Linked DNA regions of Styela clava. The protein of the gene in region 3 purifies or fractionates together with the protein of the main gene of each other region. This does not show direct contact. Links are inferred from orthologs where the notes say so. Each region holds a gene or a part of one and is shown on either strand. Other genes may lie near its edges.

What was found.
Region 1: the proteins of uncharacterized protein LOC120333750 (region 3) and RNA-binding protein fxr1-B-like purify together in Drosophila melanogaster (affinity purification with western blotting; 3 studies listed by BioGRID, with this or other methods). This does not show direct contact. The link is inferred for Styela clava from reciprocal best matches to the Drosophila melanogaster genes lig and Fmr1.
Region 2: the proteins of uncharacterized protein LOC120333750 (region 3) and ras GTPase-activating protein-binding protein 1-like purify together in Drosophila melanogaster (affinity purification with western blotting; 3 studies listed by BioGRID, with this or other methods). This does not show direct contact. The link is inferred for Styela clava from reciprocal best matches to the Drosophila melanogaster genes lig and rin.

The regions. Positions count from the first base shown.
Region 1 is NC_135256.1:13,109,152-13,112,911, reverse strand, and holds the start of RNA-binding protein fxr1-B-like, read right to left. Parts: upstream 2,951-3,760; 5' UTR 2,790-2,950; coding exon 1,405-2,789; intron 1,004-1,404; coding exon 889-1,003; intron 489-888; coding exon 285-488; 3' UTR 1-284. UniProt on the Drosophila melanogaster protein: Polyribosome-associated RNA-binding protein that plays a role in neuronal development and synaptic plasticity through the regulation of protein synthesis of mRNAs.
Region 2 is NC_135252.1:4,648,368-4,652,127, forward strand, and holds the start of ras GTPase-activating protein-binding protein 1-like, read right to left. Parts: upstream 2,577-3,760; 5' UTR 2,489-2,576; coding exon 1,034-2,488; 3' UTR 1-1,033.
Region 3 is NC_135264.1:6,149,202-6,152,961, reverse strand, and holds the start of uncharacterized protein LOC120333750, read left to right. Parts: upstream 1-728; 5' UTR 729-787; coding exon 788-898; intron 899-1,578; coding exon 1,579-1,665; intron 1,666-1,852; coding exon 1,853-1,966; intron 1,967-2,743; coding exon 2,744-2,927; intron 2,928-3,058; coding exon 3,059-3,218; intron 3,219-3,295; coding exon 3,296-3,404; intron 3,405-3,760. UniProt on the Drosophila melanogaster protein: Acts in the nervous system to mediate the control of copulatory organs during courtship.

The DNA.
Region 1 (3,760 bases), on a different chromosome or scaffold from region 3:
ATAGTTTAAATAAATAGAAAAAATGTACAAAAAGAATAGCACAATAAACAAGAAAATAATAATATATACAAACAATACAAGAATTTTGTTTTGTTCGAGAAAAATATGAACATCAAACACTGAAAACTAAATGTTGACTTGCGTGTCACGAAGATCCAATAGGCAAACACCAGCATTAAATATGTTCAACATGCACATCTACTAGTATTTTTGGTCAAGGCTGAGTTAGGAGTTTGTTAAAGTTGTAACGTAAGCCTCGCATGGCCGAAGACATATAGGTCTGTTTATTTAGCTGTGACTGTTGTAGCACTATCTTCTTTTTTAGGATTGTTTCCGGTACTTTGTGCGGCATCACCATTCATTGTGCCATTGGTGAGGTTGTCCAATTTTCCCTTTTTATTCCGGTTTCTATTTCGTCTCTTCTTGCCTCCAGTGTTAGGGTTGGTTTGTGGTCCACTTTCTGTGCCATTTTGTGCTGGCGCTACCCCCTGATGAAGAAATGAATAATAAAAGTACTACAGGGACATCAAAAAATGAGTACAAAAGTTCAGGGCTGTGAAGTGGGAGTTGCAAATTTTCAATGGTGACAAAATAATCAAATTAAAATCAATATTAAGAATTCTTGACAGTTTATTGAAAAAGATGTGCATGAGCCAAAGTTTGTCATCAGAATTGGATTTTCTTGGAGTTCAGCATTGGAGCCAAAAATTTTCTTTAATGGAAAATGAAGTCGATTGTAAATATCTCCACTGGCTGTTGGAAACACTTAATTTGTCAGAAATTTCAAAGTGTTGCTGATTTATGAATAAATGCATGATCAATTCAAATTAAATTCCATGGCACACATCTAGAGTTCTAAACTGTTTGAAAATAATATGCACAACTTACATTTTCAACCTTATCTTGGCCTTCTCCAGCTCCATTTAGTGCTTCAAAGCGATTGTGATTTGGATTGGATGTTTCTTTCTTATGAAACGGTTTCTGTGATTGCGGCTTTCCTCGACTGAAAAAGTATATGGTTAGAAAAAATCTTGTTCAAGGAAATAGTCCTTATATCAATTGATTCCAAGCATAACTGTGTGTGGCTTGAATTTGCTATACGCTCATGAAAATAAAGCTCCTTTTGGAATATATCCTTCAGTTAGGATAGGATTTACATATTTATCCCAGGGAAGAGTGAAGACAATAAGATGGCTTAACCCTATGGCGGACCACGGCCTCTCATCCGGTTACCATTCCATGTCGGGTGTGGGATTAGTTAGGTATTTGTTTTTCGAAAGCATGAACTTGATGGTGGACGAAGCCGTAAATATCTGTAAGTTTATATGCGCACGGCAGTTATTCAATTAACAGAATAGCCAATTAACGTAAATGCTACAAATTCCAATGCAATATTATACTCACTTTGAATATCCATTATTTAACAGTTCCTTTGATTTGATTTGCCCTTTACTATCTGTGATTGATTCTCCACCTGTTTCTGATCCTGTGTCTGAAATTGACTTTTCGGAATTTGTAGTAGTGGCTCCCTCTCTATCGCTACCAGAGCGTCTGCGTCCTCTACCCCGGCCTGGGTTATACCTGGGTCTTCTGTAACTTCCCTCCATGTCACTTTCACTCTGAGAAGGAAGTGCACTCGACCCTCCATCAAGCTGTCGTATACGCTGATTAATACTCAATTGCTCCATTCGTAAATGGTCAAGGTCCCTTAGGTATGCAACATGGTATTCCAAAAGCGCTCTTGCATTTCTGATATTTTCTCGTATTCCGATAAATCGAAATGGTACCATTCCAGGTTCAATTTCCTTTTCTGTATTCTCATCGTCCCCAACAACTCGGACTCGGATAACACCAGATTTGTCAATCATTTCTTGGATTGTAGCTCCCTTTTTGCCAATCACTTTTCCTACATACGGTCTTGGAACGATAACTTCTTCTTCACAAAATTCCAACATTTCTCTTGCTTGTTGCACAGCTTCTTTGGTTTCACCATACACTGAAAATGTGTGTGTATCCTCATCTAAAACGATATCTAAAACACCAGAAATTTTTCTAGCAGCCATGATATTGGCTCCTCCTGTACCGATGGCTAGCCCAACTAAATCTTCACCAACTGTGAATTTTTCCACACACGATTCTGCACGCTGCTGAGTTATTTCCAATTGTTTCGAAGCTTCTTCGACTCTTTGGAGCATTTGTAATTTGGTACGAAGACTTCGGAAATGTAGATCTGACACAATCGTAGCTCTTCGCTGAGCTGATGAATTTGACACGATAACATCAAGTTGTTTCTTTGTGGAGTTGTACCGAACTAAAATCGCTTCAATACTTCGTTCAAATTCCTTATGAGCATCTATGTATTTTGTACAAAAGTCTTGCAGATCTTCAGGTACATCCAGGGACACTTTCCTGATATCATTACCTGACAATGGTTGGTTGCTATTGATAGGTCTGAGACGTTCTTTCGTGACAATTTCAGTATACTTTGGATCACACGATTGGTATTCAATAACGAAAAATTCTCCCTTGCTCATTTTAATCCGACAATGCCACCAACCACAAGGTTCATTATCATTTGCTCTTGAATGAACTTCGGCCTCTTGACCTTCAACGAACTCGATTCCACTTTCAACATCATATGCCAAGCGAATTTCTTGGAATGGAATAATCTTTTCAGGTTGCCAATTGTTCTCAAATGTAACAAGTATGCCAGTAGGGCCCACATCAGATAAAAATGCTTTATAATATGCACCGTTGGAACCCCTTACTTCTACAGTTCGGTTATCCATCGCTACTAATTCAATTATTGAATATCGGTTATGTAATACAGTGATGGGAGTTTTCAGTAGGCTATACAGAAAAATAAATATTTTTTTCAGATTGATACAGGTTTCTTAGTTTGTATTATTTAATGGAATTCAATGATATTCAATGGTTCAGATAATTATTTTTTTCAACCTTGCCATAATCAATTTCTTAATTAGTACAATATTGATATGTTCTAATTGCCAATAGCAACGAACTGGTTATATAAGGATTATTAGCACTGAAACGAATTATCTCATAACATATGCAAATATACACACAACTGCACAAAGGATCAGTCTCAATGTTTTCTTCAAAATAGAACAATATTCCATCAACGATTAGTTCATTATTAGCTGACGAATTATATCTGTATATCGATGGGATGAAAAACCTTCTCTTACAATTGAAAAAAAACATTTATTAAAAATCTGATTTTAATTTGCCAACTTCCTTTTTCGGAGTTAGGAAAACTGGAAATATGATTTCACATTTTCCAAAACTCGTGCCGTTGCTCTTGATCACAACTTATCTACCGCAACTTTTCATTCTGGTACTTTTTTTTCTTATTACAAAAAATCGAAAATATTGGTGGTACTAGAATAGAGATATTTGTATATAGGCAACATAAAAAACATCAAACTACTATTAATTTAGCGATATAATACCGGCATGCTGGTACGATATAGAATTATCAACCGAAAACATTACGGTATTCGCTTACAGCAAGGATCTTAACTAAGCTAACTAGACCTATCAAAACGTCCTGATAACAACCACGAAAACTTTGTCGTCTCGACTCCTACATACCTTAATTATTATTACTATCATATTTCTTTATTCTCCTCCCCAATATGCTTGAACTCAAAACACAAACGAACGTTGGCTATATACACGTGAAGGTGGCGAAACTTCGGTATCGCCCGTCCCATTTACATTCATTCGGTACTCGTTA
Region 2 (3,760 bases), on a different chromosome or scaffold from region 3:
AATGAATAAGAATTAATGATAAAAATGCGAAAAGCGCACATTGTAAGACCTTGCGTAGTCAGAAAAATTCCTAACTCTAATTCAATAACAATAAGAAAATACCGTAAGTCAAATTATGAACCATTGGGCTAAGTAATTCTGACAATGCTCAAGCATCAAAGCATGTATGACAGTTATAATCAAATATTTATATCCTAAGAAAACTTTGGGAAAAAACACCTTTATTTCACTTACCAATTCATATGCAGACTTGGTATGGTTATACAATGAATTGTTTTAACAAAATTTATGTATTCCAAGTTCTTATACAGTTTTCGCTGAAACGTACTTTAAATAAGGCAAAAACAGAATTCATGTAATGATTTCAGGTCAATTGTATCGAATATTTGAACTAGGAAAAATGCAGAGAAAAATCAAAATCGAAAAACAGCATGTCATTTAGACAGAAACATTTCTAACTTTGCCGAAATTAGAAAACCAAAATCTATCACAATAAACAAGCCAATGAAATGAATTATCTGCATTAATTACAAAGTAATATTAGAGAACACGATACATGAACGGCGTCGATTTGTATATGAATTAAAGTCAAATGGACATCAAACATTTTATACAGATATCGAAGGACACTGAAAACAAATGAAACTGAAAGACAGGAAGGAAAGAAAATGCCAAGAGTCGCCCAGTCGGTATTCAAATCGCAAGAGTGTAGATAAGTAATCTACAAATCAAAATATTGGGTCTGACAACTGATTGCACTTTTGGCATTCCCTTGCCGGAACTCATAATAGTTATCACGGGGAAATTAGGTAGAAAAGATTGCTAGACGCTTGATACAATGTCTCGCTTGAAAGAGGTGCTGAATTTACAGTCTGAACAATAATAATAAATACACCAGAACAGATGGTATTAGCACAATTTCAACTGGTGGCAAAAAGGAAATAGTGATAAAGTCCAAGTATTTTAAACAGCTATCCTTTATAAGAAAACTGTGACTGAATTGTATACATTTTAGTAAATAGCTAGCAAATGATCACCGTCGACCAGGGAAATTATTAGGACGTTGACCTTCCCTTGACCCACCCCAGTCTCTTCGTGGTGGACCACGTTGTTGTAAACGACCACCGCGGTTATTATCTCGACCAGATTCCCACCGACCTGGACCGGGTCTTCGTCCACCATCGCGTGACATCGCTCTCTGCTTCTTTTCTTCGATGTTAATTCTCTTATTATTCTTGAATGTAGTCGGCATCAAACGTAGAACTTCCTCCACAGCTTTGTGATCTTCAAAGATTATGAAACCAAAGCTTGGATTGCTCGTATTCGAATGATTAATTCGAATTTCAACAATTTCACCATATTCAGAAAAGTGTTCACGCAGATCGGATTCCGTAATTTCCAGAGGAAGATTTCCAACAAAGATTTGCTGGTTATCGGGATAACGACTTTGACGTCGTCCGCCCGGATCTCCCATGCCTTCACCCGAACCATCTCGCTGTGAAGTCACCGGAGGTCTAGAACTACGAACTTGTTGCTTTTGCTGATCCATGGACGGGCCATCATTCGATTGGTTAACTTTAACAACGGTGCCTTGCTGAATGTTGTGCTGTGCTGGTGTATTTTTCGATGCCAGAGCAGCCCAAGAGTACGGTTGAACAGGTTCAGGTTCCTTATGTGGTACAGAATTCATGTTGTCTGTTGGTTCTGGTATATCTTTTTCTGCAGTTTCTTCCAATTGAGGTTCTTCATTCTCATTTGAGATGGGATAGACTGGAGATTCGTTACGAGGTTCAATGTCGACAGGTTCAGTATCTTGAGCGTGGTCAGATTCGGTTTCAGATTCAGGATGATTTGGGGGAGAAATTGCCAAAGCAGGAGAATCTTGATCATCAGAAGTGACAGGTTGAGAATCCAAACGAGGTTCCAGATCATTATTGATAATTTGAGCAGCCTGATTTTGAGAGCCAATATGGTTGTCAAATTGTGTTGGTTGGGGTGGTGGTTGTTGTACATTTACCTCCTCATCCAACTCTTGCTCTTCCTCAAGATGTTCCTGACGTCCTTCATCTTGATACACCTCATCTTCATAACGAAATATATCATTATGAACATAAAACTTGTATGGGTTATCCCCCTGGGGTGCCAAAACAAAGGTCTGCATAAACCTACGCAGAGGCTTGCGATTGTTGGAAAGCTCACCAATCACTTGTACCACAACCCCGTTGCTGATGGTAGCATGAGCGTCGACTTGGTATACTTTAGTATGGCATTCCTTGAATTGCAATGAAGTGATCTTCTTATGAATTGCCATCTGTCCAACAACCTCTTCTTCTGGCTCTCCATTGCAATACCGGCTTCCATGCACATAAGACGAATTCACTCCATAGAACCTGTGTAGTATTTCTGGTGCCTTGTTCAGAAGGGAATAATATTGGCGCACAAATTCCCTCCCTACCTGGAAAGGACTTGGATGATCCATTCTTACCATTTCTTGATGAAAGTTTCAGAGTTTGAAGCAAAATTAGTGTATGTGCACCAAATTTTTTTTGTTTTGTTCCTATTTTCAAATTAAAAAGAAAATAGATTAGGGTATGACTTCAGTCTTCAATATAAATTACAAACATTAAATGTTGTTGCCTAAATATGGATAAAGTGAAATCAGCAGGTAAAAATATCTAACACATTGATTTGATTGCATCTCAAGATTTTTCAAATTTTAAATGATCATTTAACTGGTGACCAGTAACTTTTGATTTCCACACATAGCTTTGTTTGCTAAGGTTCAGTTGAGAGTTATAAATAAAAATTTAATGAAATATAGGAATTATTGAATCAAGAAAACAAATGCAAAAACCTTCATCGAATTTAGTAAAATAGGAACACTGTACATAAGTAAGTGCACTTATTAACTACGTTTCGGTTCCTTATAATCGAGCTGAATATCTGATCAAATTTGTATTCTATTTGACAAATGATAACTAGTGCAAAATTTCATTTTGTGCAATGCAATGGCAGAGTTAAAGCCAAATTAAAAATAAAGGTATCGCAAAAAAGTTGTTAGAAGTGCATTTTATAAATTCGAGTTTTGGTTTAAATTCGCTTCATGAAAATTTAAAGGTAGGTCTCATATCGCTACACATTATGCAAATTGGCATTATGTAAATTGGAACATATTTGAAATCTAATTAATATTCAAGCGTTCATGAAAATATTAGTATTCTGAATTTACAGTTTTTTTCAATCCATGCATCTTCATTTGGAATAAAAATTATGTAAAGAGCGCTAACAGACTACAGGACTAAGTCAGTAAGTCTCAGGTTTGGGGGAAATAAAAATAGAGTTTGTATACAAAACCATCCGATCAATGCTCTATATAAAATGATTTTACTAAGTTCAGAAACATTTATGAAAAGCCATATTTTGAATGTCATTAGCTTACAAAATACAATCGGTACCATAGGGTGGTGTAGCCAGTCTGCGGACGATTTCATTCAAACCGCTATAAAACAAAAACCAATATTTCTAACCCGTTAATTTTTTCACCGTAGGTGCATTGGCATTTATTCTACACGCTGAACTTCGAATTAACTTTCTACGACCAGGGGTTAAGGCTATACAAACCACCAAAGTACGACACTCTGAAGACGTATTTGCGACCGAACGACCAGTGTGCGACCACGGATTTCAAGCCTTGAACATCGTTTCTGATGCGTCGAGACTAGGGCATACGCAGCCATGCGTGAAAAAATGGGCTTCTAAT
Region 3 (3,760 bases):
TTCGAATTCATGTTTATTATTAAGAATGTTATCTGCATCATAGGGATACAAATCTTCAATGCATTTTGAAATGATGTAATCTTATGCCAAGATTGATAAATTTCCTTGATCAATTTCCTTTATTTATATCTAAGCAAATATTTCCACTATGTTTCTACTATAATTTATCAGTAATAGTTAAACTGCAAGTAAACCATTAATTATGTGCCAAATTTGATAAACAATGCTGCTCAGATAAATACTCTTATTCTGGTATAATTGCATCTCATATTCTATCTTTACTAGCGGAATTGTTCTTTACTAATTTTCAAAACAATAATAGGGCGTGGACTGAATGAATTGTATTACCTTTTGAATAATGCCATTTTATAAGGTCATATCCGATCATTTCCTGATGGGTTTCTTCACTGCGTGTGAATATTTCTGGCTTTAGAAATGCAGCGGTTCCTTAGACATAATGGTTTAATAATGTTATGAATATGTCACTTTTTTATGATTTTGGGGAATTATTACTGCAGTTTATCAAACAATGTAAACTTCTTTTCTTAAATAGACCATTTGTTTAAGCACTGTTCATTGAATTGAATTCATTATATTTTCTACATTCTTATAATACAAACTAGCTAGCATTGAAAAAAATATATCATGACCAAAATGTGTTCAAATTCCATTGTCTATGAATGCGAAATTGCCTTACTCGTTTCCCCTGTCATTTCCGATATTTATTATTTGTGTTAACAGTGCATGAAACTGATTTATAATATCTGTTGTACATATTTGTATATAAATGGTCATGTCATATGAGACATCGGCCCGTGGTGGAAGCCAAAAGCGAGAAAAATCAAACACAGGACACAGTAGCGGTGGTGGGAAACAGACGACTCATAAAATTCCACAGGTTCGTGCATTTGTAATAATTTTCATTGATTTATATTTACACTTTTGTCATTGTCTCAGATTATTGCTTTGGGAAAGAATTTAATACTGATCCTTCTTAAGCAATGGTTCGTAACCTTTTTTTGAAGCGACCCAAATTAAAAAAAAATCGTGTGACCCAAGGATATACTCAAATACTAAATGTGTAGTACTTTTATGACTAAAATTGATTGAATAAAATAAAACAATCCGTTTTATATAACAAATATCTCTAAGAATTACTTAAAAAAAAAGAGAAAACTTCGTGTTTGCCATCAGTGAGTTCAATGAACTGCTTTTACTTAGCAAAATGAATATTTCAAATAAAGTTTTTACGCAGTGATACTGTCCACACATACAAGTACGATTGAGCGACACTTCAATACCAAATAGGAAATAAACATGGAATTTACTATAAAATAAAATAGTAACTTTCAAGTTTTTATTGAATAAAGCAAGCGACCCAAGAAATTATTTAGACGATCCATAGATTGAGAAATACTGCTCTAATATATTGAAAATTAAATTTGATAATCAAAATTAATTATCATATTAAATACATTTTTATAGTTTCTCACATTTTTGTTTATGCCCTTGGTATATGAGTGATTCTACGATTAATTTATTTGCTATGTTATTGTTATTTCTCTTTTTATGCCACAGGCCACAGCTGAACAGATGAGAATCGCACAATTAGTCAACGACCAACCGAAGGATGACGACATATTATTATCTAAAAATGTTTCACAGGTAGGCAGAAATATTAAGTAAATAAATAAAAAATAGATATTGCATTCAGGAATTTCCAAATTCAAGCTTGACCATATAAGAATAGGATTTGAATTTTTGTTATTACAGGATCCGTTTTATGTGAACAATGGGAAATTTTTATTGCTATCGAATTTTTCTCGATCATCTATGATCTATTTCTTTTCAGATTGTTGAAGTCACAGGTACCAGTGAAGAAAATGCATTGTTAGCTTTATATGATTCCAGTAATGATCCAATTAGAGCCATTGAATTAATTTTGGAAAGAGGCTCAAAGGGGGAGGTATAGTGCCTAGTTTATCTTAATTGCTCAAATTTCCTTATATTTTTTCCTGTGGCTGTCCACCGATCTCATATTTTTAAAGTAGTGCGGCCCATACATAACTCGAAGTTGAATATATTGATAAATAATTCTTGATTCGTGGACATCTTATCAATATAATTGCAATGATTACATTACATCAGTTATTGGTTGAACTATAAAATAGCATTTTATACTACGCATACCAAAAATAAATTAATATAAATTTACGACTCTCGAAAAAATCTCTCTCCGTCTATTTTAAAAGGTTAATGTTAAATCAATTTATTATGATATATAAATGTATACAGCAATAGTTAAAATTTGTTTTCATCAATTTTGCTCACCATGTAAGTGTGACGTAAAAAGTTACATTTTATGAACAATATTTACAGTTTTACAAAATCAAATGTGGAAAGCAATTAAGCTCTTGCTAAAACTAAATTTATTCGCAATCTCAACAAATTCCTTGAACTCGTTTTTAGCTAAAATGTCAAAACTTGGTTTTAGTTTGTTTGTGGCAGCATCAAGCGGGCCAGATAGAATTACCTAACAGGCAGGAATTGGCCTGCGGGTCATAGTTCGCCTATGTCAGTGTTAACCTATTAAATTTAAATTCATATCAAATCACTTTATAATTATTAATTAGCGAATATGTTAATACGTAACAATCTGGTTTTCACGTATCGTTATAGACGATTCAATTAGTAGTATTTATAATGTGAAATATTTAAAACAAATTTTCGTTCATTTTAACAGGACAGTGGATGGGAAACCGCGGGTCGGAGAAAAAACAGAGGTGGATCGAGTATGACAAGAGGACAAGACACATTTGATGACGAAACGAAAGATGATAAAACAAACGAAAACAGAAGAGAATGGGATGGCGGAGAATCGAGAGGAAGAGGTAGAGGGAACAGACGCGGCGGAAGAGGACGAGGAGGTACCTAATCCATCTAATTTATTCTGCCTTGGGTGAGGTGGGGCCGGGAGGTATAGGATCTAAACCACCTCGCAATCACAATATGGTCATCCGTATTGTAATACTCTAAATCTAAATGCTATTTTTATCAGGACGGAACCAAGACAGGACCAGAACCACAGATGATAATGACAAAGAAAATGAAAATTTTCAAGACAGAGGTCAGAGGAGAGGAAGAGGTCGGGGAAGATCTGGGACAAACAGAGGACGTGGGGGCAGAGGTCGAGGGGGTGGAGCACCAAGACATTATAAGTACAATTCCTTCTAAAGTTTTTTTCATCTTGACCGAAATTGATATTCTCAAAAAAATTTTTCATTTCTCGTTTCAGAAATCAGACATTTGGTTCAAAATATGGTGATGATTCAAATGCAAAAGACTCACTTACAGAACCTGTTGACATGTGGAGAGGAACAAGTAACGAATGTTGGGATATAGAGGTAATCATTATTTTTCTCTGATTCTAGACGCTTCTGTCAAATTTATTCGACTGATTTTGACTGAAAAGAAACAAATCCAGCCTATTGTTTTCTTTTACTGTATTTATAAAATGTACAACGCCTTCGTTCGATACGAGACCTATCGAAAAGCACATACTGATTTGATATTTAGGGTGCAATTAGGAAAAGACTGTAATTATTTTGGATGGTCAAATATTCATTATTTAGCATGATTTTAACACGTAAATCATGCCCCAAATTTGTTGTTTTCTTTTTGATTTGTCATTATTGATTTTATTTTCTAATAAATTTCATTTTTTATATAATATTGAACGTGAAATTGCCAACCATACATT